Linked DNA regions of Notamacropus eugenii. The protein of the gene in region 1 interacts with the protein of each later gene in a biochemical or structural test. Links are inferred from orthologs where the notes say so. Each region holds a gene or a part of one and is shown on either strand. Other genes may lie near its edges. The genes, in order: NF2, SPTBN1, DCAF1 and AMOT.

Evidence for each region.
Region 2: the proteins of NF2 (region 1) and SPTBN1 form a complex in vitro, tested with the Homo sapiens proteins (2 studies listed by BioGRID and IntAct). The link is inferred for Notamacropus eugenii from reciprocal best matches to the Homo sapiens genes NF2 and SPTBN1.
Region 3: the proteins of NF2 (region 1) and DCAF1 form a complex in vitro, tested with the Homo sapiens proteins (3 studies listed by BioGRID, with this or other methods). The link is inferred for Notamacropus eugenii from reciprocal best matches to the Homo sapiens genes NF2 and DCAF1.
Region 4: the proteins of NF2 (region 1) and AMOT form a complex in vitro, tested with the Homo sapiens proteins (2 studies listed by BioGRID and IntAct). The link is inferred for Notamacropus eugenii from reciprocal best matches to the Homo sapiens genes NF2 and AMOT.

Annotation. Positions count from the first base shown.
Region 1 is NC_092875.1:16,051,671-16,058,525, reverse strand, and holds the start of NF2 (merlin), read left to right. Parts: upstream 1-3,854; 5' UTR 3,855-3,955; coding exon 3,956-4,069; intron 4,070-6,855. UniProt on the Homo sapiens protein: Probable regulator of the Hippo/SWH (Sav/Wts/Hpo) signaling pathway, a signaling pathway that plays a pivotal role in tumor suppression by restricting proliferation and promoting apoptosis.
Region 2 is NC_092872.1:651,984,268-651,991,445, reverse strand, and holds the start of SPTBN1 (spectrin beta chain, non-erythrocytic 1), read left to right. Parts: upstream 1-4,158; 5' UTR 4,159-4,398; exon of another isoform or gene 4,399-4,486; intron 4,487-5,130; exon of another isoform or gene 5,131-5,492; intron 5,493-5,601; exon of another isoform or gene 5,602-5,721; intron 5,722-7,178. UniProt on the Homo sapiens protein: Fodrin, which seems to be involved in secretion, interacts with calmodulin in a calcium-dependent manner and is thus candidate for the calcium-dependent movement of the cytoskeleton at the membrane.
Region 3 is NC_092872.1:3,306,208-3,313,433, reverse strand, and holds the start of DCAF1 (DDB1- and CUL4-associated factor 1), read right to left. Parts: upstream 3,008-7,226; 5' UTR 2,388-3,007; intron 1-2,387. UniProt on the Homo sapiens protein: Acts both as a substrate recognition component of E3 ubiquitin-protein ligase complexes and as an atypical serine/threonine-protein kinase, playing key roles in various processes such as cell cycle, telomerase regulation and histone modification.
Region 4 is NC_092879.1:97,026,314-97,033,647, reverse strand, and holds the start of AMOT (angiomotin), read right to left. Parts: upstream 3,012-7,334; 5' UTR 2,903-3,011; intron 1-2,902.

The DNA.
Region 1 (6,855 bases):
ACCTTCAGTAAATCAACCTTTCCTTTGATCTCAGACCTTCCATCTTCTTACTCCTAACCAAGGCTAATCCCTCTACATGTCCAAGTGACCTTAACCCCATCCCATCTTCTCCATAAGATTTTCCCCTCTGAAATGGATGGAAGAAACCAAAGCTATCTATAGTCACAGAAGTTCTCTAAATCACTTTTGATTAGGGAAATGCAAATTAAAACAACTCTGAAGTACCATCTCACACCTATTAGATTACCTAATATAACAAAAAAAGAAAATGATAAATGTTGGAGAGGATGTGAGAAAATTGGGACACTAATGTATGTAGTGTTGGTGGAGTTGTGAATGGATCCAACCATTCTGGAGAAGAATTTGGAACTACGCCCAAAGGGCAACCAAACTGTGCATATCCTTTGATCCAGCAATACCCCTACTAAATCTGCATCCCAAAGAAGTCATAAAAAAGGGAAAAGGACCTACATGTATAAAAATATTTATAGCACCCCTTTTCATGGTGGCAAATTATTGGAAACTGAGGGGATACCTATCAATTGGGAAATGGCTAAACAAGTTGTGGTATATGAATGTAATGGAATACTAAGAACCAATGTATATTTCAGAAAAACCTGGAAAGACTTGTGCAAACTGATGTGAAGTGAAATGAGCAGAACCACGAAAACATTATACATAGTAACAGCAACATTTTGTGATGATCAACTATGAAAGACTCAGCTCTTCTCTGAAACACAATGATTCAAGACAATTACAAAGAATTCTTGATGGAAAGATAAAGATCTGATAGACTTTGAATTTAGATCAAAGCACGCTTTTTTCATTTTATTTTTTTTCATGGTTTTCCCTTTTGGTCTATTTCCTCTTTCACAACTCTGACTAATATGGAAATATGTTTTACATCTTTGCACATATATAACATATCAAATTACTTACCATTTTAAGAAGAGGGGAGGGAAGGGAAGGAGAAAAATTTGGAACTCAAAATCTTGTAAAAATGAATGCTAAAAATTGTCTACACATAATTGGGAAAAAATAAAATATTATAAAAAAAAGATTTCCTCCTCTGTCACTCCCAATCTTTCACTTTGTTTCAATCTCTTTCTGTCTGTTGGTTCTTTCCCTACTGCCTTATAAGCATGTTCATGTCGCCCTCATCCTCCAAAAAAAACCCTACTTAATCCTTCCATCCTCACTATCATCCTATGTCTCTTCTGTGTTTTGTGGCTAAAAAGGCCTTCTTCTAACAGGGGCTTCCACTTTTTTTCCTCTCATTCTCTTCTTAAAGCCTTCCAATCCAGCTTCCAAAACGTCTCTCTCCAAAATTACTAGAGCCCTTTATTGCCAAGTCAAATGGCCTTTTCTCAATTCTCATTGTCCTTAACCTTTCTGCAGTCTCAGGCCAGGAGAGCAGGACACACTGACTTCCAAAACATAAATGGAAAGAACAAAAGAGCAGAGATTGAACCTCATGGAGTCGCAGTAACCAAGCTTGTCCCCAAAGAAGACGAGCCAGGTCAGGGGTGGGGAACCTGTCAAAGAGCCCCACTTGAGGACCTAGAGGCCCATCTGTGACCCACCCAAGCCAGACAGTCAGCAAGCATTTATGAAGCGCTATTTATAATGCTTAAAGCAATGCAGTCCCTGCCCTGCCCTGACACTCAACATGCAGATAACTAGGGCAATGAGGTGGCTTTGCAGATACCACATTGGCCTTGAAGTTAGGAAGCCTTGAGCTGAAATCTTACCACAGACACCTGCTTGTTGCGTGATCCTGGGCAAGTCACTTCACCTCTCTCTCTTTTAGTTTTCTCAACAGTATAAAGGGGATAGAAACGCAGCTATGAGGAAATGAGATAATGTATGTAAAGTGCATTGTATTTAAGTGCTTTGTTTCAGGCACTACATAAATGTTAGCTGTTATTATTACTTACATATAAGATGTGTGTGTGTGGGGGTGTGTGTGTGGGTATATGTATGCAGCAAGGTGGTGCGCTGGGTAGAGCAAGAGGCCTGGAGTCAGGAAGACCTGAGTTCAAATCTGACCTCATACACTTACAAGCTGTGTGGCCCTGGGCAAGTCACTTCACTGTTTGCCTCATCTGTAAAATGAGCTGGAGAAAGAAATGGCAAAAGCCACTGCAACTTCTTGAGCAGGGTAGTTACACGGTCAGGTCTATATTTAGGGCTATTAATACTTGTAGAATATGGAGCCACTAGAAGGAGACCAGTTAGGAAGCTGGAGGTAAAAACTACAATCTCAGACAAGTAATCTCATTCTTGTATGGGGATCTCCGTACTTAGGATGCATTCCCCAGGAAATGACAACTCACATTTTGTAGCATGGGGTCAACAAAGGGCTGTCTCCTCACAATAACTCTGTGAAGTACGGGATGCAATGACTGGTCCCCCCATTTCACAGATGAGGAAACTGAGGTTCAAAGAGGGTAAAAGATCTGAGCAGTCACACAGCCAAGAGCTAAACTCCAATTTAATTCACCAGAAATGTATTAAGCTTGTCCCACCTGGGCTAGGTGCTGTGCTTTGTTCCTGCTGAGTCATTTCAGTTGTGTCTGACTCTTCATGACCCCATGTGGGGTTTTCTTGGCAAAGACTCCAGCTCCTCTTGCAGATGAGGAAACTGAGGCAAACGGGGTTAAGTGACTTGCTCTGGGTCACACAGCTAGTCACACATTTGAATAGGAAGTCTTCCTAATTCCAGGATCCGCAGTGTGTGCCCTGTGGTGCCACCCGGGTGCAGACGCAAAGACACAACGAGTGGTCCAGCCCCTCCCCTCAAGGAGCTTGCCTTTTACTGGGGGACCCCACACGTGTACTCACAAGCACGACACGGAAGCACTTCCGTGGGGCGGGGAAGGCTTCTCAGAGCGGGGTGCTGGCTGTGCTGACCCGTTAGTGCTCAACCTGGAGTCATAAGGATCTGAATTCCAATCCTGCCTCGGACAGGTAAACCCCTTAACCCTTTCCATCCTCGGTTTTCTGGTCTATAAAGTGGGGGTGACAAGAGGGATATGACAGCAGATGGGGAACATCATCTCCTCCTCTCCTTCCTCACCAATAAGTTTGCCCACTGTCACCACTGCCAGGAAAACCTGAAGAAGGCTAGTGGTAGTAGCAGCGGTAATGGAGGTGAGGCTGGCACAGGGAACCACCCGCGCACGAAGCACCTGCAGAACAGGCTGGCTCCGCTATGCCACGCCCCTCCGCGACATTTCAGTGACGTCACCGCCACGCCCCCACCCTCTCCCCGCCTCTCCTAGCGGGCCCCTAGTCGAAGCTGGCTTTCTCCAGCGCTCCAGCAGGAGGAGGAGGAACCCGGCAACAAAGGCGGCCCGAGCGACAGCCGCATCGACCACTCAGCGCCGAGTCCGGCCTTACGCGCCGGCGAGACCCAGCTTGCCACTGGCCAGCCTTCTTCAAGGGGGCGTGGCCGAAGGCTAGGCCCCGCCTCCACCGGGTGGGGGGCGGGAGAGGGGAGGTCGGACCAATCGGAGCGGGGCTGGGTGGGCCGCCAGTGCCTCAGGCTACGGGCCGAGGGCGCGCGCCGAGCGGACTGGGCCCGGACCCGAGCGCCCCCGGGAGCGCGCGCGCTCCCCTCACTCACTCGCGTGCCCGTTCGGCCGCGGCTCCTCCGAGGCGGGACGGGAGCGCCGGGAGCGGAACGTGGCGAAGCCTCTGGGCCTCACGAAGTCCTGAGCGCCAGCCTCCGGCCGCCGCCCACCGCGGAGGGGGCCCGCCCCCGCCCTCGGGCCCCGCGGGGTGGGCGGCCGGCCTGGGCCCGGGGTCCGGGGTCAGGGGCCCCGAGGCCCGAGGCCACGCGGCTCCGCGCAGGCGCCATGAGGCCCCCCGGCTCCGCGCAGGCGCCCTGGCGGCCCTGAGGCCTGGGCGGCCTGTGGGCTGAGCCGGGCCGGGCCGGGGCCGGGGCCTTGCCATGGCCGGGGCCATCGCGTCGCGCATGAGCTTCAGCTCCCTCAAGAGGAAGCAGCCCAAGACGTTCACCGTGCGCATCGTCACCATGGACGCGGAGATGGAGTTCAACTGCGAGGTAACTCGCCCGTCCGCCAGCACTGCTTGAGCGCCTCGTGTGTACCCCGCCCGAGTGAAGGAGCCCCGCCCGCCAGGGGGCGGGACGCGGGGGCGCCGGCCACGTGTCCCCGGAGCCGGAGCCCTCCGCGCGGCAGGGGGCCGGCGGGCCGGACCCTCCAGGCGGACCTGAGGCGGGGCGGGCAGCCTGCCGCGCGCCGGGCCGGGGGGCCTCAGTGTCCTCCGCCCCAGGTGACCACCCGATCACCACCGCACCCCGGCCTTGTCGTCCTCGGGCAGGCCGGCCTCCTGCCTCTGCCCCTCCGATCCCTCGTGCGTTCCGTGCCCGGTGTGCCAGCTCAGGGGGTGAAGTTTAGCAAGTACCCCTGAGTGTGGGTGCCCACATAGTACCGATGCACGCCCAGCATCAGTATGTATGATCATACCCGGATTTGTAATGTGAACATGTATGTGTAAGTGTGTAAGTATCTGTGCATGTTTACGTAAGCATGTTGGCACTGGTCAGTCCTTTCAGCAATGCGCCCTCCACGACCCCACTGGGGGTTTCCTGGCAGAGATACTGGAAAGGTTGGCCATTTCCTTCTCCAGCCCATTTTACAGGTGAGGAAACTGAGGCAAGCAGGGTGAAGCGACTTGCCCAGGGTCACCCAGTGAGGGGGTGTTGGAGGCCAGATTTGAGCTCACATACATGAGTCTTCCACATTCAATCCTGGTGCTCTATCCACCGTGCCACCTGGCTGTCCATACAGAAGGATATGAGCACATAGATGTATACATGCAAATATATGTGTGTACGGATGTGTACGGATGCATGCGTGTGTATAGACATACGTACGTACATACACACTGTGAATGTGTCTGGTGGATGTGTGTGTGGGGGGCAGCACTGTGGGATGCAGAAAGCACTTGACTTGGGGCTCGGACGTCTCCTGCCCTGGATCGCTAAAGTCGCTTGGCCTCTGGGAGCTAACATTCATTCCATGAGGGATGCACAGACGTGTGTTTGCATTTGGAGTATTTGTAAATACTGTGTAAAGTGTTTGAAGGGTTGACTAGAACCTCAGTGACACCCAGACTGCCCCATACGTGACAAGCGACCACCCTGGAGCCTGCAGCTCCCTCTGCTTGAAGACCCTCTAGGGTGGGGACCCTGTTGCTCCTCTAGGGGAAGGAGAGCTGGGCTGTAGTAAAGACAGCCCTGGACTGGGGGTCCGAGGACCAGACTCTGCTGCTGGTTACTTGCGTGACCTGGGGCAAGGCGTTTCTGGGCCTTAGTTTCCTCTTCTGTAAAGAGAGAGAGGCAGGTGAGGGGGCAGCATTGGTAGGTCCTGTTCAGGGCCCTACTGGTTGCCCAGAGTGCATGGAGTGAGGCATCCAGAAAGGCCAGGGGGCTGAGGGGAAGGGGGGAGGGGGAGAGCTGACCCAGTCAGGGTGACTTGGGTAGGAGAGAATGTAACAGTGACACCCTTGGGGAGCTTTTAGGTCAGTGAGGTGTTTGGCACACTCCCTTCTGGGCCAATCAAGTCATCCTCACTTTGTGCTGTTTGACTAGGTGACTGCAGGGTCAAGCATGGGTGGAGTCCACGTGTTTGGGCCACGTTGCCCCCTGACACCTCCAGCTAGAGGCTGCCTAGTCCAGCCCCCTCACTTCACAATAAAGGAAGTCACAGAGCTAGTAAGTGTCAGAACCGGGACTGGAACTGGCTTTGGATTCCCAAATTCAGGGCTCTTTTTACCGTGCCATACTGCTCTGTGGAGCTAGAAGAGGCCTTAGTGGTGATCTGGTCCAAGCCCTTCTTTTTGCACATGAGGAAACTGAGGCAGACAGAATTAAGTGACTTGCCTTGAGTCAAACAGCTAGTAAGTGTGTGAGGCTGGCTTTGAACCGGCCTCTAGAGCCAGCACTGTATCCATTGTGGCCCCTAGCTGCCACCTGGTGATGATAGTAGTACCTACCTCACAGGGTTGTTAAATAAGATATTTGTAAACAGTTCTTAGCACAATGCTTGGCACACAGTGCTGTATAAATGTTAGCAATTATTATAGTGAGCAGTATATGGTAATTTTTTTTGTAGGGTGTGAAAGAGGATTGTTTGGCTCTAGCTTGGAAATAGGGAATCAGCTTGAATGGAGTGGGTCTAATGGCCCAGACCAAGTAGTCTTTGCAAAGGCCAAGGCCACTTTAGGAGAGTACAAGTCTTGTGTATCATCTTCCAGTGTCTCATATCATGTGAAGGTGGTTTTTCCACAGGCGAACTTTGAATTTGGAAGCTCATGTTAATGGGCTTAGTCATTATATGACCTGGGAGAAGCTGGCAGTCCAGTCAGCCCACAGCATGAGTATGTGCTGCATGCCAGGCACTGGGCCAAGCAGGGGAGATGCAAAGAAAGGCAAAAGACAGGCCCTGCCCTCAAAGGAGAGACAACAGGCAGACAACTGGGGGCAAACAAGCTGTAGAACAGGCTAAATTGGAGATAAACCCCCGAGGGCAGACAGCAGCAATGAAGGAAAGGCTTCTGGGGAGGAGGAGCTGAGACTTGAAGGATGCCCGGGAGGCCAGGAGGCACAGATGAGGAGGGAGAGCATTCCAGGGAGGTGAGGCAGCCAGTGAAATGTTTGGATTTGGGAGCTGGAGCATTGTGGGAGAGGAATGCCAAGGAGGCTGGGGGCCCTGCATAGCTGAGTACTTGTTGGAGGGCTCTAGTAAGGGACCAGGTTGTGGGTGGCATCTGTGCTTTAGGAAGATCACTCCGGTGTCTGAATGGAGGATAGATCAGATTGGGGAG
Region 2 (7,178 bases), on another chromosome or scaffold:
ATGGGGTAGCTCTAAACTGAACCTCAAAATGAGTTCTAAGAGGTAGAGAAAGGAGAAAGTTGTTGTCATTGAGAATGCTCGAGAAAATCCAAGGGACCTGCTTTATCATATAAATAGGCAAAAAAGTGGCAAAGTAGATAGAGTACTGGGCCTGGAGTCAGGAAAACCTGAGTTGAAATCTAGCCTTAGATACTTATAGGCTGTGAATTCCTGGGCAAGTCACTTAACCTGTTTCACTCAGTTTCCTAATCTGAAAAATGGGGATAATAATAACACCTAGCTCCCAGGGTGGTTATGAGGATCAAATGAGATAATTACTGTAAGGTGCTTAGTATACTACCTGGCACATAGTTAAGTGCCATATAAATGTTAGCTATTATTAATTAAAATAAAATTTTGTAAGACCTCAAATTTATATTTCCCACTATACCATTATTGGTTGGGCACATAGCAGGGACTCAATAAATATTCATTTGTTGATTTGGACCATTTTGGATGTGGAGAGGAGTTTAGGAAAATAGGGATGGTTTTAAAAGTAAGCCACCCAAGTAAAAGGATTTCAAGAGGGCTGGGAATCTTCTTTTCCAAAATACATCCGGATTCACTGATAAGTGAAAATACATGATAAGGAATTTCATTCCTCCCCCTTATGCCAAATAAAGGTCTTGTCCCTCTTATTTCTAAGATAAACAATATTAATAAGAAATCTACCAGTCACTTACACCATAGTGCAAATAATCTTTTCATAGGAAAAAGGGTTGAGAAAATATTCAAACATTTAGTACATTGAGAGAATGCCTCACTGAGGGGAAGAATGACAATAATAGTTAACATTTATATAGCACTCTAAGGTGTGCATAGTGCTTTAAATATTAACTCTTCTGATCTTCACAACAATCTTGTGAGGGAGGTGTTATTATTTTATCATCTTACAGATAAGGAAACTGAGTCAGAGAGATTAAATTATTTGTTCTGGATCATGCAACTACTAAGTGTCATAAGCAGGATTCAAATTCGGGTGTTCCATCCACTGTGTCACCCACCTTCCTAAAAAGAGGAGGTAAAGAAAGAATGGGGACAAACTCTAATTACTTATCAATTTTCCCTTTAACTAGCCCAACTGAAGAACAAATCGATTTCCTGGTCAACCAAAGAAACAACTGATGACAGAAGAAATTGAATCTAAAATTTCAAAGTATCCTTGCTTGTAGGACTAAATAACAGGAAAAAAGAAAAAGAAAAAAAATATTAATAGGTTTGGCACATTGAGATCACTGTTTACTTAAAGGAACCTAGCAATCATCATCCAGGTCATATTTAATCTTCTTCAGGGTTGATTTTTCTTTTTAACCATTTGATTCTGAAAATGTTATTTTAACAATTAGACATTCATGGGTATAAATTTAACTGTCATAGTCTGTCCTTTTTACCTTTAAAAATATAATTAAATATTAATATCTTGCCCAAAGGCTTTAAGGGAAAGGAAGTTTAATGAGAAAGGAATCACAGAGTAAAGTATTTCCTTAGTTTTATTCATTACTAATAGACTAAATCTTGAGCATGAAAAATTTTTTGTAAAAATCAAAATTTTCCTAATAGCCTTTATGATTATTAATCCAAGATCAAAATTATTATTATTAATAATAATATACTCTCTGAATGTGAGTCATTTTCAGTGTTGAACCTAAACTAAGTAATTTCCTTTTATACTGGAAGTGTTCCATGTTAGGGTGTTTCTTCATTAGCTATAATTCAAAAATGACTAATGACTATCTCTATGATCTAAATCTGTTAATTCCTATTAATTTTTGTTGATTGCCAATAATGTATTAGCTGCTAGATAAAATATTATGAAGACAAAGTTCCAGCTCTCTAGTAGAACCTTTCTCAACTTCTGCATTTAAAAAGTTTCCCTTATATCTTACAATAAAACTTTAAATCAGTAGCCTTCACTCTGAATTTCGGAATCACACTTAATAAGCTACTATAAAGTTGGTAAATTCTTACAGTCCCCGGTACAATGCCATATAAATTGTGAAGTTAAGGAAACATGTTGCCTTTTCTCAGGGAGAAAGCATAAAATGATTTGGGTTGGGGGCAGGATATGGTCTCTACTAGAGCTAGAAGATTAACCATTCTAGTGGTAGAGAGATAAAGGGAGTATTTAAAGACCACTACTAAAAATAACTTTGGAAGTGTTTAAGAATTTATTTCCCTGGAGACTCTGTTGTTTTCTTGTGGATTTCATTGACTGAAACAAGCAAAAACTCAGTCCTCAGGTGCAGCATTCATTTCCAGTGTGCTAATTTCCCTGTGCTTACCTTTATGATGTTTTCATGTTTTTGTTGTGATTTGATGGCATTCCTGAAAAATACTTCATTTATTTCCTTCAACTTCTGAAACACTGAAGTAAGTATAACGTGTGAAAACATTTATTTTGCTCATTAAAAGCTAAATGACTGATTTTTCTGACCCTTTAGGTCCCTTTCCTTCTAACTTGAAAATTTCCAAAATTAAAATTATTTATCGGCATCACAGGATACTACCAGTTTTAAAGCTTTTAAAAATATCCATCTAATCCAATCAATCAACAAGCATTTATTAAGCACTTACTACATGCCAAGAACTATGAAAAAAAACCATATACATATATTATTATATATAAAACATAAAAATGAATACAAGGTTGATTTAGAACTCAAAAGTCATTATAAAGGGAAGAAAAAAGAGAATGCTTAAATTCTGTGAAAATTTAATAATCTTTTATATGTTTTTAACAGTACAATTTTTTGGTTCTACTTTTGAAGCCTTAGGCCATCTGAATTGAGACCCTGACTTTTGGGGTAGACCAGCATTCTGAATAGGGTGATCAGGTACATTAGGCAAGAAATAAATTTTAGTTAATTTTTTATGTGGTACATGTGTGTTAACTAAAATTGCCAGTTCAAATTTCTGCATTTTCAGCAAAACACGATATTCATCTGTAAACACTTAAACACTAAATATACCAGGTCTCAGACCTCTACTGCTTGAAATAGCTGCAAATCAGTAATGAGGTTCTCTAACCTTCCTAGGTCAGTTTTTGTTTTAAGGTTTGGGGGATCCTTCAGAAGAAAAGGTTCAACAATTCTCTTGAGCCGAAATAATAAAAATTGTATAGTGCTCACGTTTTCCTGGATCTGGGCTAGATAACCATACAGAGCAAGTTAACCACAACTTTTGTAGGAGCTTATGTTCTAAAGCTCAGATTTCTAGCTAATGTAGGTAAGTCTTGACGAGAACCTTGACAGGTCCATTACTGAGTAGTGACAGACAGCTTGTTAGTCCCCAGGAAACACTGTATCTCAAAAAAGGGGGTGGGGGTGGGGGCCGCTACGGGATGTTTGCCTCAGGGATAAGAGGCTGGAGTTCAAGTACTAGGCTAGGCTACCTAGGTAGAAAGGGTTAAAAGAATTCACAAAGGGAGAACTTGACCCAGAGAATTGGGAAACAAACAACAAAAAAAGGCGCCCAACAGAGATGTCGCCTTTTCCCCACCTGAGCGGAAACCTACAAGCACTACCTCCCAGATTTAAAACAAAAATGGGGAATCCACCCACTTAAAACCCCCAAACCCAGAAAGCAAACTTTGTCCTTTGTTACAAAATAAAAAACCAGCAAGGAAGAAAGGAGACTGAGCGAAGTCACGTTCAGAATTAGGCTGCCCCTTTCCATGGTGATAATCGAATTAGGCTTCAATTAAACGTGAAATTGGCCCTCTCGGGGGGTGGGGACAAAGCCCCCATTATCCCCGGCGCTCCCTCTCCTCCCGCGGCGGCGGTGGCCCCTATCGGGGTGCCTGGCTTCCAGGCCCGGCCTCGGGGACTGAGGAGAGAAGAGGAGAGGAGAGGAGGAATGCGGAGGGAGGTGAATGTGCAAGCGCACTTGTTTATCAGCTGCAGCCCAGAGAAGGCGCTCGCTGCAGGTAGCTGGGAGGAGGCCCGGGCCGGGGGCTGGAGGAGCGCAGCGGAGAAGGGGGCAGAGGGCGGTGGGCACTCTCAGAGGCACAGAGAGAGTGTTTGCGCGGTGGCGGCGGGGCGCGAGCCGGAGGAGGAGGAGAGGCTTGTGGGTGGGTGTCTGTGCAGCATCCCTCTCCCCGCCCCCTCCCAGCTCCCGCCCGCCCTCCTCCCGCCTGCCTCCTGAATCAGTGCAGCTGTTGCTGTGTGGGCTGCGGATTCCTCCAGTCGCTCCCTTCCCTTCCTCTCCTCCGGGAGCGCAGCGCTGCACTGCACGGCGCCCGGTCCTGTCCTGTGAGCCCCGACCCCCGCGGCGGCTGCCAGCACCGACCGGCTGCCCAGGAGGAGGACGGGACCCCGGCGCCCCCCACCCAACCTCCCCATCTCCCCGGACCCCGAAGAGGTAAGGGCCCCGAGGCTGCGGTTGTCGTTCTGCGGACCAGATGCCAACTCACTGAACGCCTCCTTTCCGTTCCCAGCCCCCGGGTTAGGTGGGTAGGAGAGGATTGCGAGAGGGGGAGGCGCAGGGTTCTGGGGAGGGGGGGGCTGTGAACCTTAGGGTGCTGTGCCAGGACGACAGCGAGGAGAAATCACGCTGACCCTTTCCCAGCACAGAGGTTGGAGGGAGGGGGAGGGGAGGCTGCAAAAACAGGGAGGGAGGGGCGGCGGGGGTGAGTAGGGGTTTGTAGGGCTGGTGACCCCCTCTTTTTAAAAAGTGTTCCTTTTATTGGAGGGCAGTGGGCGAGAAAAGGGGCGCTTGGGGCGGGATTCAGGGCCTAGGGAATGAGCAAGACGGAGAGAAGGCTGCAGGCAGGCTCTGCAGTCTGGCAGCTGCAGACATGGCAGTGTGTGACTGTTGCAGCGGCTCCATCATTAGGTTGCAGCAGACATCCCTCCTCCCCTTCGCCTTTCTCCTCCTTTAAGCTGTGTGCCTCATTTTCCCAGTATTTTTCTGGGGGGAGGCATTAAAGAGAGAGGGTACTGAGGTTCTCGAGCGCATATTTTAGTGAGGTGCAAAAAAAAAAAAAGAAAAAATCGCCTTTGGCTGCTTGGATTGGTGTGTGTGTGTGTGTGTGTGTGTGTGTGTGTGTGTGTGTGTGTGTGTGTGTGTGTGTGCGTGTGTGCGCGTATGTATGTAAAGGAGGGGCAGAAAGGGAGGAGAGTGGGCATCTTGGCGAGGGGTCGCTGACCGTGCTTGGTGACCTAGGTTGCTGGATGTAACGGTACAGGAGATGCAACCAGGCGTGGTCCTGAGCTGCGCTGCTGCTGCTGAGCTGGAGGCGGCGGCAGCAGCAGCTGCTGCTGCTGCTCCTGCTGCTGCTCCCGCCTCCTTTTCCTTCCCTCCTCCTCTTTCTCCTCTTTCTCCTCCTCTTCATTTCCCACTCTCTCTGGACTGGGCGTGAGCAGCTACGGTGCTGGGAACAGGCTGCTTTTTCGGGCTTCGGTGTTCTTCAACAGGTTTGTGCCGACCTGGTCATCTCTTTTCTGGTCCCCTAGGTAGGGTTGTGCTGGTTTGGGAACCCTTCTTCCTCCCTGCTCCCGCACCCTGTTTTCTTGCGTTGGGTCGTTCTCTTGGCTTTTGTGATGGGAAAAGTGTCAATCCGCTGCAATCAGATTTACAGTTGTTCCCCCTCCCTCCTCCTTTCTCCATGTTGGGAAGACAGCCTGATATGATTGCAGGCTTTGCAAACCGTCTTGAATTTTAAGAAGAAAAAAGAGAAAACAGGTGAGAAAAGTATCTGAAGATGGGCCTCAGGAAAGAAAGAATCCATGACTTGGGTTAATTTGTTTTTTAAAATATATTTAATCATGATCTAGCAGGAGTGGGATGATGCAGCACAATGCAGCTAGATATATGACAACCTTATTTTGTTCTTGGTGGCTCTCCTTTGCATAGCAACCCATCGCCCTGTGCTCTTTCCCAACCCCACCCAGTTGGAAAGCTTTTTTTTTTCCAGAGCCTGGGGCTGCTTGTCCCCTGTCATACGGTTTCAGCTGGATGTGGCTTCAAAAGAAACAGATCACCTAGGTGTAGAAGGAGAAAGAGACATTTTTGCGGGGGTTGGGGGGGAAGGAGGGAGTGGATGAGGTAGTGGTTAAGGGACCCTCCCTGTTTGGTTGCTGTTAGGTTGTACTGTAATGAAGAGGAGTTATGCGATTGCAGTTCTAATGCGGTCTGATGGAGCCCAGCCTGCGGCTGTGGACCTTTATCCCATACTATCAAACTACTGTAGGAGCATTAGGGAGGGGCGACAGGAAGAATGATATTGTAAATGTGAGGAAATGGTGCATGTTGTATGTGAGTAGTCATGGGATATATTTATTAGATGGCTGACCACGCCATGTAATCTTCCAATATAATTGGCTTCTGAATATATCAGAAGTTGATGACAGTAATAAATTCACATTTAGCAGCTTAGGGCACCCAGTATTAAGAATATAGGTTTTTAGTTCTAGAAAAACTATGTGCATAAAAAAAAATTAAAGAAGTTAAATGCTTTTAGTTCCTTGGGCCTCAAAAAGTGTATAAAGATGTTAGAATTTCATATATTTTTAAAAATTGCTCTTTAAGGGTTGTAAAAGTGGGCTTTTTTATTGTTGGGGGCTTAGCCAAGTTTTTTCCCCTTTAAATTGAAACTATTTGGAAACTAAATTCACATCTTGAGATAACAAATGAGATTTATATTTAATAGAAATCAAACATTTTCAAGAGTTTTTTTATTTAAGTAGCAAAATTGGCTTTACATATAAGATTATTTCAGTAGAGTCATCATTAAGATGATTGTAGCTGAAATTAACCACACATTTAAATTTCACATCTTTTCTCTTAAGTGTTTTCTTCCAAATGTGATTTGGGCAGATTTTCATGACATGATTTTTTTCTTATGGCTTTCTTATGGCTTTTCTTACGCTTAAGTGTTTCATAGCATTAAGTCAAATGTGGCAGGGAAGTGATTTTACCTCTCTCTTCGTATAGTGAATTTCATTTACAGATGACTTTCCCATAGTTCTCTTAGATACTTGTATTTGAAGTTGAGTAATAAATGGAATTTAGTGCATAATGCCAGTCTAGGTTCTGGTTTTGAGGAAATGTCACCTAAATTAGGTAAAGAGGTACTATCTCAGTAGTTAAACATTTCAAAGCCAAGGATTATCAGTTGATAGTCATATTTTCATGAGTCT
Region 3 (7,226 bases), on another chromosome or scaffold:
AGAAGGGTATGCAAGGGGGAGGAGACCACATTCATCAAGGGTCCTGTCTGCTTTTCATAAAACAAGACTTCCCAGCTGCTCACACTTCTCAGCTCCCATAAACAATCCTGCCTTTGCAAATCTAAGCCAGAAGAAGACAGATTCTTTCTAGTGTTATGACCAATAAATCAGTCCCTCCATCCATCTAGAAAGAGAGGAGCAGTAGATGGACAAGCTATTTGTGTTTAGTGCCTGGGACATTACATGGCCAAGTACATTTCCTTTCAAGAAGTAAGGAACTGTATGCTAACTGTTGTTTTCTCGTTCCTGCTCCCACTTCCACCCCACCCTCCTCAGGGAGCTGGGAAGGGGGTTCTAGGTGAACTGCCAGAGATTTCCTTTAAACCTTTCTCCTCCTGATTTCTGACCTCGGCTTCATAGAATCTCTGTTAGAAATTCATCTAATCCAGCGTGACAGAGGAGCAATTCCCTCCACAACGTACCATCAAGAAAGTGGTCCCACTTTGGAGACATCTGGAGAGGAAGGAATGTTCATTACTTCCTAATGAGTTTCCCTTTCTCTGCTTTCTCCTTCTGGACAGTTCTCTTTCTTAGAATTTTTCTTCACAAAGTTAAATCTGTTCTTCATATAACTTTTCATTGTTCCTAACTCTGTCCTTCGGATCTAAACCGAAGGCTTTGAATCCAGCTTCTCAAATCCTTAGGGTTCTAGGATCTCTAGATCCTTAGAGATCATCTAGTCCAAGCCCCTCATTTTGCAGATTATCAAAATGAAGCCAAGAGGAAAGGAAATGACTTGCCCAAGATTAGTGTTTGTAGGTTCTCTAACTCCAAATCCAGTGTTTTTTCCACTCTGTGATACTGTTTTTTGCTTCCCTTAGGTCTTCCCTTCTGCAAGCTCCACATACTCAGGTCTTATCTAGGGTGATTTTTCCCTTGTGCCCTCCTCTTCTTGAGCTTTCCAATTTCACTGCTAAAGTGTGATACCCAGAAATGGCCATAATTCTTACAAAAAGCAGATCTTCCCCTTCGTGTGAGGTCAAGAGGAGAGGGATCCCTTGCCTCTGTAGTCCTCTGGGACTCAAAAGATCCCATTTATCCAGATTGACCCTAAGCTTTGGGACCAAGCCCAACCTCTCTCACAAATACCTCAGCTTTCTTAGCCCTACTAATCCTCAACATCCCCTCTCTTCTTCTTCCCACCCCACTTATGGTCAGATCACCCATCTCCAATGGATAGGGGAGATCCATTGGCTTTTGTTCCCAGATTTAGAACCCTTAATGCTCAGTGGAAATCTCTGCTTTGTCAGTGCCCAACTACTGGCTCACTAAGGGAAGCTGCTCATTTAATCCTTCAGGTCCTCAGTTTATTCTCGTCCAAAACAGGGAGAATGAAATCTCCCCTAGTTCCAGTGGGTTTTGAGATGAATAAGGCAGGCCATGTAGTCAACTTGCAGCTAAGAAAGATATTTGTGCATTATTGGGGCTCTTTCTTTTTTTCTCTTCCATTCTTCCCTCTTAGTTAAATCACTGCTGACCCAGAAAAGAAGGGAGATCAGAAGGAGATTCCCTTTATTGGCAGCTGTGGAAAATGCTTAGTGGGAAAGCAGGCTGAAACTATAGCCAGTTCTCAATTATCTCCCTGTGGATTCACTTTTGTTCAAGGCCATTGAAAACTTAGCTTGCCCAACCATGGCCCTAGAACACTTCTGCCTTTCTCTCTCTTGTATACTGATCCTGTCCGTGCATCCTCACTCTTCCGACCTAAGCCGGAGGCAGGGAGGAAAATTTAAAAAACAATTTTAATACATTACAAGGATAAACAGAAATTATTTGGAAATTCTCTATATTAATGCTACTTTCCTTCAAGGGAATAACTAGAATTTCTTTTATTGGATAAACTAAAGTTTGGTAATGATGACTTGAATGAGTTTACTCTCTATAACCTTCTTCGGTTTTGTTTTCCTCATGTGTGATCTGAGAGGATTGGGGCAGCAGGATGGCGCAGTGGATAGAATGCAAAGGCCTCATTTTCCTGAGTTCAAATCTGGCCTCAGTCACTTACTAGCTGTGAGATCCCAGGCAAGTCACCTAACCTTATTTGCCTTGGTTTCCTTATCTGTAAAATGAGCTAGAAAAGCAAATGGCAAACCTTTCCAGTTTCTTTGCCAAGTAAACCCCAAATGGGGTCACAAAGAGTTGGACAGTGCTACAGAACAGCAAAAATCTAAGAGCATTATTAGACTAGATGATCTCTTGCTCCAAATCCTATCATTTTTATGGTGCTTTGAAATTTATAAGCCATTCTCCACCCCCCCACCCCAACCCCCAAGAGTATTCCCCACGTAGGTATTACAGACATTATCATCCATTTTACAGATGAATACCTTGTTGCTCAGAGGGTGAGATGATTTGCCCAAACTCATACAGCTAATGTCAGAACTATAATTCAAATCCACACCTCCTGACTCCAAGTTCATGTTCTTACCACCACAAATTTAGCTGTGGCTTTTGTCCATGAGCTTTCCTTTCTAGGACTACAGTTAGTTCATGGTGAATTGACTGTGCCCACAAATGAATTTGATCTTCTTGGAAGAAAAAGCTGAGTGCCAGAGATTAAGGCAAAGACACAGTTAAACCCATTTCAAGGTTGGAAAATGAGGACTTCTTGAAGCCAGAACCTGGTCCCAGAAGGCTCTGATTTTAGAACAGGAGACAAGAAGACAAAATACTTTCCTTTTAAGTCCTCAAAGGAGCTGAATTAAGTCCATCGTCCTTGCACCAGAGTTATAAAGTCACCTGGAATGGTAGTATATGCTGGCATGGGCCTCAATGAGATTGCTTAAGACCAAAGTGGGAAGTAGGTTTGGATGACTTCCCAGAGCTGTTACTCCCTTTCCTTCAGGAAAAGACCCCCAGAGAAGGAGTCCCCTTCCCAGGCTCCCCTGGGACACATTCCTTCTGCTGCAGCCTGAGTGGGAGCCATGATGGTGAATGTCAGAAACTCCCCTGGGGGGCTGCTCAACAGGTCATCTATGATGTCATAATAAGAATAGGCATGGGCAACGGGTAGAGAGGGCAACTCTCCACATTACAGTCATAGTGGACCTACTAGGCACAAAGGTATGGACTGGAGAGACAGATGCAGAAGGGCAAGTGCTCACTCTTGGCTCTAAGTGCCTAATAAGGCCTAGTAGGATATCCCTTAGCCATGACTAGCTTTCATATCTAATGGCTAACAGCACCATGGGCTTCCTAAAGACCTGTCTTTTCAGGTAGGTGGTTGAGCAGAGAGCTGGACAGAAAGGAGGACATAACTACTGAAAGCCAATGATGGATAACAACCATGGATAACTGAAGGGTAATGTCTATGTGCTAGAGCCTAGGGAGAGGTTAGATCAAGCTTTCTCCCTTTCTCAGGGGTTCTTTGGATGGGAAGGGATGTCATCTTCTCTTACCGTGGTGGGGCAGGCTCACAAGTACTCCCTCCAGGGGCAGGCTCTATGATGTTTCACATGTTGCCAGCTGACGGTCATCCCCACCCTCCTGGAGGCCAGCTACCATGTCCATCAGGACCCTGCCTGTCACAGAGGTCATGCCTTGTGAAGTCACAAAGCTGGCCATTCACCCCTATGGAGTGGGGAAAGGGTCCCCAAGTGGAGGAAAGGCTTCCTGTTACACTCAGTGCTGAACAAGGAAGCCACTGAGGACTCTGGTAACTGGATAAAGCCTCTCTGAGCCCTCAGAGGAACCAAGGACTACTCTGTCTTTCCCCAGGAAACCTTCTTAGGTCAAAATAATGCATGTTTGGCAAGCTGAGGAGTGAGGCAGGCTCAAGAGCATGAAGAAAGAAGAGTCATATCTTTGAAATACTGGGGAAAATTGTACTTGACCTAGTGATTTCCACTGGATTGCAGCACTGTTCCTAAAGAAGTATAGAATCTTAACACTGGAAGGGACCTCAGAGGTTATAATTCAACCTACGCTGATCAGGAATCCCTTCTACAGTTATCCTAGACAGTTATCATCCAGTCTCTGCTAGAAGACAACTTACAGGGGGATAGGGAACTCCTTACTTCCTGAGTTCAACCTATTCCACTTTCAGACAGCTCTTACGGTTAAGAAATATTTTCTTATTTTGAGGTGAAATTGGTCTTTCTGTAAATTCCATCCATTGTTCCCAGTTGGGCAAGCCTTATTTCTCTTCATAGGACAGCCCTTAAAATCATGGAAGACATTAATCATATTCCCCCTCAGTCTTCTCCGTACTCACGTTCCCCATTCCTTGAACTGTCTCATATAGTATGAACTTCAGTTTCACTATTAGCCTGTTCAGCCTCCCTTGGATGAGTCCAAACTCATCTTCCTAGTTTGTTGACCTCTAGTGGGCTTTGGGGCAATATGGATTCTTTCTCCTGATCTTTATCCAATGAGCTTCCATTTACTTCTATAGTCCTCAACCCTGGTGCCAGCAGCCTTCTGTATACTCTAGCTACCATCTGTTGGGAGAGGATGAAATGGGGAATCAGATTGTAGAATTTAGATCCACAAGGAACCTTAGAGAACACCTTGTTCAATCCTTTCACTTTTTCATGATTTATTTTTTAAAAAAGTATTGCTGCTGATTAGCTGCTTATGTAACACAGACATTACCCAATATATCTCTCTCCTTCCCCCTAATAAAACTATCTCTATAATTAAGAAAAGTTAATTACAACCAAACAACAGTATATGTATCTTACAGTGTACCTGTAAAGTCCTCCCCCGCAACACACACATTTTGCTCTACAGAGCGGTGGCAAGTATTTCTTTATCTGTTCACTGGGACCATTCATCATAGCATTTAATCTGAGTTGAGTTGCCTTTTAGAGGGGTCTTTTTTATGCTGAGCTTAACAAACACCAAAAAAGAAAGCATTTTCATGTACAAAGTAGAATATAAAAAGGACTGTATATAAAACAGCAAGTATCTATTCAGTACAGCTTGCTATTCTAAAAAAAATACATAATAAACTCAACGTTTATCAAAGCTGTCTTTTCTCCTGTTTGTCTGTTTCCTTCTGAATTTCCTTCTGTTTTTGCCATGTATTAAAAAAAAATCTTTCAATGACTCTCTTTTGGGGAAAGGACATCTCTAGTGCTAGCTGTCTCCTCCTCAAATGCCACTACTGCAAAAAAAATAATTGTGACATACAAGCATGATCAAGCACAACAAATCTGCAGTGTCCATATCTGAAAATGTTTGACTCTTTCTGCACCTTCTATAAATTATTTCCTTTCTCCTTCCATTTTGGGGCATTCATTGAAACTTATTGACAATAAGCCACCCTTTCCAATACTAGTTGCATTTTTATTAATAACCCTCAATCTCTGGTGAAATGAGGATGTTGCAATGCTCCTTGTTCTCCGCTGACACTTTCAGATTCTCCTCTATCCCATTGCTGAGCTCCCCTCTTCTTCCTCTGTACCATCTTTCCCTTTTTTGGGATTCCAAATTTATCATCAAACCTTCTTCATGATCTTCATGACCATTATCTATGGATCCCCAGACACTCTTCTTCCTTCACGAATTCAGTACCTGATTCATAGTCTTTTTCTCCTCCATAACTTTTGCTATGAGATTTCAACCTACTTACTGATTCTTTCTCAACCACCTTAATTTCCCAGTTTCTCAGTTTATTCAGTTCCCATGATCTGTTCCTCCATTCCTCTTCAGCAACACACAGAGATGGCTAGACCACAATGCTTCATCACCTACAAGTGTTCTATTTCTACGTTCATAAATTCTGAAATTCCTTTATAAGGTCATTAATTTTAGCGTCCCATACTTCTCCCTTTATTGCAAGTCTTAAGCTTATCCTTTATTCTCAATGTGATCTCCAACTCTTCCATCCCTTAGTTTTTCCTGGCCCTCACCCCTACCTTGGCTACACTGTCCTCCTTTCCCTATTTCAACTCTTTGGTGAATTAGTTCAACTCTACACTGCACTCTATACATTCCCCCTCACCCCTCCATCTCCCGTCTTCTATAACTGATCATACCTTGCTAAATCCCAACCTTGGATTCTATCTTGACTCCTATTCCTAGGCTGCTGAACAGAGCTGAAGAGTCACAAAATTACTGATGAGATCCACTGCAAATTTGTCATATAACCCCGACTAGTCCTCACTGCCACAAAGAAATCTTTTCACACCTCCCTAATTGACTTACTAGTTCCCTCGTCACACCATGTATACACACTGTGTGTGTCTCCACATATATATGTGTATGGTATATATACATATCTCTATTATGCAGGTATGCATATATCCACATACACATATTTATTTTCATATTGCATTCTTTGGGGGGAGGGGCCGCATCTTTGCTTTCTTTGTATACCCAACACTTAGCCTATCATATTGAAAGCACTAAATAAATGCTTGCTGATGGACTACACCTTGAGTCAATCTTCTGTCTGGCAGAATGCTTCCTCCTCATGCTCTGGAGTCATGCTTGGTCACTATTCTTTGATCACCCTCCTTAATTTTTTTAGTTGTATTTCTTTATTATATTGTTGCTATCACGTTTTTTTTTTCTCATTTAATTTATTCTCTTGGAGCTTCTCTCTTCACTCTGGATCAGCTCATACAAACCTTCCCAGGCTCCTCGAAAAATGTCTCTTTTGCGACTTGTTACAATGTAACAATATCCATTCCATTCATAAAGCACAATTTGTCCAGCCATTCCCTGATTCATAGGTACCATCTTAATTTCTTTTTTACCATCTTAAGTTCTTTTTTTTCTTTCTCTAATTTAATCCTCTCTTCAGGTTCCATCCTCTAAGTTTATTTTATTTTATATTTGACTATTCCATCTTTACCTATTGAGTTTGAAATATTCTACACACTTACACATCTTAAAAACTCTTCTGTCCAGTTCAGAAGAATGAGGTTCATTTGATGCCTGCTCCCCCTTCCTTCCATCGTGTCTGTGTATTCTTTTAACACACTTTCCTTTCTCTTTCTACACTACTGCTTTTAATTTTTCTTTTCACTCCCTCCTTAAAACCAATCAGAACAGAATCAACACACTCCCTGGTCTTCTGTTTGTCTTATTTAACTCCTTCAATATCCTTTGGAAACATTAGAGTTCTGTAAGGACACTTGCTCTGGTGTTTTAGGGGGATGTCTATCCTCAAGCATGTGAAGACTCACCCTGGCAGAATGAGTGGATGAGAATAATTT
Region 4 (7,334 bases), on another chromosome or scaffold:
TCCTGTCTTTTTAAAGAAAGCAAAGAAGGAAGGAAACAATCAGAGCACCCCCAGAACCTCGGCTGTCTCACCGCTGTCCCTGGGAATACTCATCCCACTACATTCTGTGATGTCAGCAACCCCCTCCCCACAAATATGCCAAACATGTTCTCCTCCCTCACCCCAAGGCCTGGGGTTTCTCGGCTCCTTCTCTGATGGAGTCCAGGCCTCTGGGATAATGAGGACCATGTGCAGGGAAGACGGGCTTTGGGGGAACACCTCTCCGTGCCTCAGCCTTAGCGACCTTAGGAAAAGTGAGCAAACTGCTTCTGGCGCATCATTTGTCCTTACTGGGGTTGGGGGGGGGGGTCAAGCTCCATGCTCTCGGGGCAGGGGGTTGTGTAAGAATGGCAGTCAGGGAGTGGGCCAGATGCTGGGGTGGGGGTGGGGTGGGTAGAGTGGGGTGCACAGACACCCAATCCTCCTTCTCGGTTTGTCCACCTTGACGGCTTGCCATGCATGGCAATGCGTGTGCTCCTGGTAGCCCTGATAAAAGCCAGTTGTGGTGAGGCAGGCCTCAGTTCCTGGCTACCATCAATAGGTGACATAAGGCAAATCTTCCTCTAAAAGCTTGACTTTTGCCCCTCCCCGCCACCCTTAGCGAATCTCCCTTCCCCCACACCCTTTCTTTAATCTTTTGGACAAGGCTGAAAAGCTTTAAAACCTTCATTGGGCACATTCCAGTCCTCACTGCTCTGCAAGATGTTTCTTAAGGAGCTCTCCTGTGGATCAAGCAAGATATTCACCTAAAGGGATGAGGCCTCACAGCCCCTGCTTGTGAGGGAGGGGGCGGGGAGGGGCTAGGCAAGAGAGCAGGGCTGGACAATCCTACCTACCATCACTTTTGGCTACAGACTGCCACAGGGCATTGCACATCAGCTAGAAGAAAGGGGTGAAGGATCAGAAGAAAAGCCAACTTCATTAAAAAGACACCCTACGATAGTAGGTGGTAAGGCTGAATGGGGGATCAGGGGGACTGGGTTAGAATTCCAGCCACCAGTGTGACTGTGGGTAACTCACATTCCTCTGTCAGCCTCAGTGTTTTCCTCCGGAAAATGGGAGAGTGGGGCTCACAAACCTCAGAGATCTGGCTCTAAATTTACAATCCAATTTTTTTTTATTAAAAGCCTTTTCACTAGATCACTAAGTCTGATGTGTATCAAGAATCATAGATTCAGAGGGAGATCTTAGAAGTACTTCTTCCAGAGGAGGACATGGAGGCCCAGATTGTTGGAAGCCTCAGAATCTCTATGAATCCTTCCCATTCTTTTTTCATAGAAGAGCAAGCCAGGCCCAGAGAACTTGAGTCACCCCAGGCCACATAGCAAATCAGGGTGGCTTTGGGAATGTACCTTCAAATGCTGCCCAGTCCCCACATTAACACTTTCTGAGTTGATGACAAGTCACCATCTCAAAGCTAGCAATGTCAAAGGAATGGCTTTGCAGATATTTTTTTAAATAATAGCTCCCATTTATAAACATTCCATTTACTGTCTTTCTCAATCCTCCACCCAAACAGGTCACTTGAATTCCCACTGCACTTTTCTATTGGGCTACAACCAAATGCCATATTTTATAAAAATTTTAACTTTGAATAGTGTGAATTTGAAAGCATATGATCATTATTTGCACTAACTGGGACCCAGTTGTAGGGGCTATTATTGTCCTCATTTTACAGATGGAGACACTGAGACTGAGAAAGGTTGAGTGAGTTGTCCAGGATCACACAGTTATAATAAGTATCTGGGGAAAGATTTGAACTCAGGTCGTCTTGACTCCAAACCTAGTGCTTGACTCATTGGCCTACATGTAGCTGCCTCTAGGTCTGCACTCTGTAAGCTTATCTACTCTAATGACCATGAGATCCTAGAGTTAGAGATGTAAAAGACCTTAGAGAATGGGATCCTTTTCAGAGCAAGAAACTGAGGCCCAGGGTAATGAAGCCACTTGCCAAAGGTCATATAGGCGGCAACTGACAGAGCAGGGATTGGAACTGAAGACCTCATATTTCAGAGTCCAAGACTCTCCCCAAAACCTCAGAGTCCTGGTCATCCCATTCCAGCAAGGCAATCCCAGAATTCACTGCTATGGAGGTTTTATTCAGCCATAGCTAGAAGTGGGTGCCAGTCTGTCAGGAGTTCCCAGAAGGCCTGGCAACCCAGCCAACCAAGCCAAGGGCTTAGCCCTGGATGGGACAGGTCACTCACTCACCAGGCTGAAGATGGTAAACTCCATCACTCACTGGAAGCTCCTCCCATCATTCCTCCCTTCAGCCAATCCCAGGTAGCCCAGTCACAGCAACTTTACCTTTCGCAGCTCAGGTATGTCCTGATCCATGGAGGCAGGCCTCCCTGCCAGCTGCCCTCTGCCCCAACCTCCCAAGCACACAACCACAAGCCCAGGCTCTCTGCCAGAATCCCAGAAAAAAGCTCATTCCTGAAAAGCAGCAAAGAGCGGCAACGGCAAATCGGCCTTGAACCTCCCCTCCCAGAGGTCCCTGATTCGAGGCCCTTAGTACCTGCCAAGCTTGCCCAAGTGCTTTTCCCGTTCTTTGTCTCTTTCCTGTAGCTAAATCTCATTTCGACAGGTCCCATTATTCTCAAGGTCATTAAAGAAAGTGATTTGTGTTTCCCACCCCCCCCCTCCTCCCTCCTGGGCCTCCCTCATTCCCGAAGCATTCCTGGCACACCCAGGCTGAGGTTGTCTTTACAGGGTGTCATGACACCCTGCCCTAAGCAGCACTGCCGGATGATTTAGGAGCAAACCGCAAACCTTGCCTTTCCCTGTGGGGCAACTAGAAAACGATGGCCTGGCGGGTACATAAGCATCCTCAAAGGCAGAGAATGCAGTGGGGCCAACTCACCAAAGCTCCAACGCTCTGTCAGCACTCCCGGAACACACCACCGCCGCACAAGATCCCACACAGGATGCACTGGGCCCACGTCACGGGCACACACATGCACAGGGAGGCCTCCTCAGAGACCTGATACTGAAAGGCAATGAACGCACAGGCATTAAAGGGAATATCATTAGCATCCATCTCCCCCAGGCTTTACCTTTCCACCTAAATGGCCACCCCAGGAAAGCACATGAGGCCCGAGCAGAAAACCAGCTGGCAAAAGGCCACCCCCATGGAGGCACGGAGTGTGAACCCCAAGGGGCCTCAGAAACGACCTAGTCCAAGCCAGATCTGAAGCAGTCCCTTCACTATAGGCCAGACAAATGGAGGAGAGAGGAGAAACTGAATTTCCTTCGTAGGCAGCCCCGTCCACTCTGGGCTAGCCCTCAGCATTAGGAAGACTTTCCTGACAGCAAGCCTAAATTTGACTGTCTGTCTCCGTCTCCCTCCACTCCTCAGCCCCAGCTGCTGGAGCCTTCCCTTCTGAGGTTACCTTACATCTATGCCCTCTGGATCCCTGGATCTCTAGGTATACATGTCCCCTCCGGTCCAGCATGAGCTCCCAGAGGTCAGGGGCCAGTCTGTGCTTTTTCTGTTTCTCCAGCACGTACCAATGTGCCAGGCACACAGTAAGCAACATTTAATAAATGCTCACTGATTCACAGCCAGCTTCCCCTTCCTCTCTCAGTTTTTCCCTCTGGGGTCAGACAGACCAAACCTAATCCTTGTCCGAGACAGCCAGCCTAGGAGAGAGGTGGTGGAGCATTTCCTCCGTTGCCCCCTCCCTCTTCTTCCCCCCTCCCCCACCCCATCTTCTTTTCCAGACTCCCAGCGAGCCTCACACTGCAAGAGCAGGAATTTGAGGCCCATACGGGAAGGGTAGGGAGGAGCTCAGAATGGGATGCTCCGAGGTTGCCTATCCCAACTCCTTCTTTTGACAGAGGAAGAAACTGAGGCTGTGGAAGGGGAAGGGATTTGTCCAAGGTCACATAGGGAATCCATGGCAGTAATTGCCTAATGAGGTGTCCTTCTGTTGCAGTGGGCACAAAACCCTGCACTCCCTGTAAAAACGTGGGGAAGAACGTCGGCTCAGAAGTGCTAGAACCCCAATGCTCTGGCCTCTATGAAGAAGGAACACAGCAGCCCTGCCATGTGCCCCCCTCCCTCACAGCCTCCCCTGCTTCTCCCAGCTCTCAATCACTCAACCTATGGAGTCTCTTTTCTTCCCAGAAAAGGTCAGGGAGCCATCACAGTTTCCCCTCACAGGGAACCCCTGGAGCAAAGGTCATTTGTTCCTGACTTGGGAGTGGCAGGCTTGCCTCAGGATCTTGCTGGGTCACCTAGACCAGAGCCTTTAGGCTGCTGCTAATTTTGCCAAGTAGGCCCCCAATACCAGATGTGGCCCTGAAAAGGCAGCATTTTGGCGGCGGTGGCGGCAGCGGCTGCTGCTGCTGCTGCTTAATTGAATTGGTGTAAAGCAAGGCTCTTTCAAAGGGAGCTGGTTATTTTAGACAAAGCCCCAGTGTATTCTTCCCCAAAGCCAGGGGCCCCTCAATGGTGAGTTGGGGCATCTCGAGGGCCCCTCCACACAAAGGCCCACTCCCACTAGTGTACTATGGGCTTCACTTTAGCCTGTCTACAGTATTCATCTTCACCAAAACATAAGGGGGAGGGAAGCAGACAAGGGAGATGGCTCTCCTCCTCTCTCAGGGTACAGAGGAATCAATAGGAATGGGTGGGGGAGGGGACTGCTTCGAGGCCTCAATAGTAGGACTAGAAAGTTGACATTGCCTCATCTGACCCTTAGGACAGCCCAGGGAGATAGATCTCCATTTTACAGATGAGGAAACTGAGACTGAGTTAAGCACCTGAGGTGGGATTCAAACCTAGGACATCCAGCTGCTCTGGTCATTGACCCTGTGGCCACCCTGGTTATTTGACTCTTCCAACAATAACAGAACCCTCTACATATAGAGGCACTCAGAAGTTTGTCAAACGCTTTTCACCCAGACCCTCTCACTTGGTCATCATGATGACCTTGGGGGAGAAACGTGCACCTCTGAGTGGAGAAAGAAGCCCTTGATTTCAGAGACATTCAGAAAGCAAAAGAAACGGAGCCAAAGGTGGAACACACACACACACACACACACACACACATACACACACAAACACACACAAACACACACACACACCAGTTAGAAGGGGGAGAACCCTCCATTCAGAACAGACAGGAACTCCTTGTAACTTAGCAAGTCACTTGTTTGGCAGCAGCTGAATGAGGGGGGGGAGGGAAGATGCTCAGCCCCAGCAGCCTGGGTACATTTGCCCAGTCACCATTCTAAAAGACCTCCCCCCCCCCATCACTCCCATGGGTTTCAACTGGGTTCGATGGGTGCATTCCAAATGCTCAGTCGCCATGGAGGAAGGTACCTGGCTGCAAGCATTTCTCTGCATCTCCTCAAGATCGGCCTCCCCCTCCTTGACACAGAACTGCAGATCTTGGGGAGAAACTGAAGAGACCCAAGGGGAAGGAAAAATGTGAGAAACTCATCTTGCATCCAAATTGGGGTGGGGCAGGGGGAATGCCTTCAAAAGCTGGACTTTTCCCTAAGCCTCATTCCTAAGTGGAGGAATGACAGAAAGAAAGGGCTGAGGAATTATAAAGCCACCCTTTTAAAGGATGAGCAGACCCTGCAAGGAAGCACAGAGGCTGATGTGTCCGGGATCAAGAGGTCAGCTAGGCCATGCCCCTGCCTTTGGGCTCAGGGAGGGCTCATCCCATTCTAGAAAAAAGAATTTTCTATCTTAGTCTTTAAAAAGTCCCCAACCTCAAAGACAGCATTCCCCGCCAAATTTTCAACTAGGTTTTGTTTAAAAAACTTCAACTCTGCAGAATAGAAAAACAAGATGTCAAAAGTTGAAATAGTTCCATGCGTCATCCCACAGACCTGGGCAACACAAGATACTCCCAACACTCAAAGGGTACAAGGGATATTTTCAACCTGTTAGGTAGAAAGTCTTCAAAAGATTTAAGGAAATGAAGGTGGGAAAAACGACCGTGTTTCCTAATGGATGGAGAGATTTCCTTAGAGTCCTTCAGTCCTGGGTTCTAGTCCTCACACTGACACACTCAGGTCACTTTTTTTTCCTACCTCTCAGGCAATGCTCTGAGTATCTACACTAGTCTCTACACTAAAGGACAGGTTTTGGTTTTTTTTAAACAAAGACAAAAAACTGCATGAAGGGTTGGAATCAGTGCCTTCCTGTGTATTAAATCAGAGCTCTTTTAAGTGTGTGTGTGTGTATATATATGTGTGTGTGCACGTGTGTGTGTGTGTTCACACCCCTGCTCTCATGGGCTCATGCCCAGAGCATGTTTGAGCAATACGGAGAATGCACTTCAAAGAAAACAGTTACTTTCTCCACTGGGGCTTCGAATGTCATATTTGGATCATGTAACCAAGAATCGTCATTCACTGAAGTGTGACCTTGGTTAAGTCTTGCCCTGTTTGTGGGCCTCAGTATTTTTCTCTGTAAAATGAGGAAATCATATTAAATGCCCTCCTAGCATTCTTTCCATGCCCTCCCCCCCTCCCCAATCTAGGAACCTTCCCACTGATACTGTAACTTCTCCAAAGAAAGAGGTCTGTGGAAAGTAGAGGTACAGAAAATGGTAGTTGAGGTCACCCAACAGGCATGGAATACAAGGCTCTGGATTTGGGCTGAAAATAGGAGTTAGCAGCTGGAAATGGAAGGAACCACTCCATAGAAGCACCTGGCCATTAATGAGTCCCAGGCTGCCTAGAAAATGCACAATTTGGTCAGTCCAACTCTTCTCTTCCAGCTGATCTGAAATGCTATACCCTTTAAAATTGGCACCCAATAACCTCCCCTTTCCCCTGCCTGCTTGTGTGCCAGCCCTCCCCTTCCCCCTCCCCTCCCCCAAGTCAAGCAAAGAAAAACTCTAAAAGGCAATCGGACATATCTTGGGGCCGGGGGGTGGAGGGGTGGAGGGGGGGGTGGGGGGAGGGAAACAGGCTCAGAGGCTCAGAGCTGGGCTGGGACCACAACCATGGTCATGGTCTTAGTGATGTCCTAAAAATAACAGAGAGGTGAAGAGCCCCTCCCCACCTCTCCTTTGCCCCAAATCCAATTTCAAACTACTTTATAGCAACCTGATGAGGGTGCTGTTCGAGGAGACTGGACAAGAGCATAGCTGAGCCTTCCAAATGTGTGTCCCCTAAATGGGTGCCACAAGCCTAACCTGATGTGGTCCTAGCTTCTGGAATGAGGGAGGCTGCCTGGTTAGTCAGGGCTGGACACTCACAGCTTGGGCACTGGCTAGTTTAAACCTCCCAGCACAACTCCTTGAAGGCAAATGTGAGAAGTATGAAAC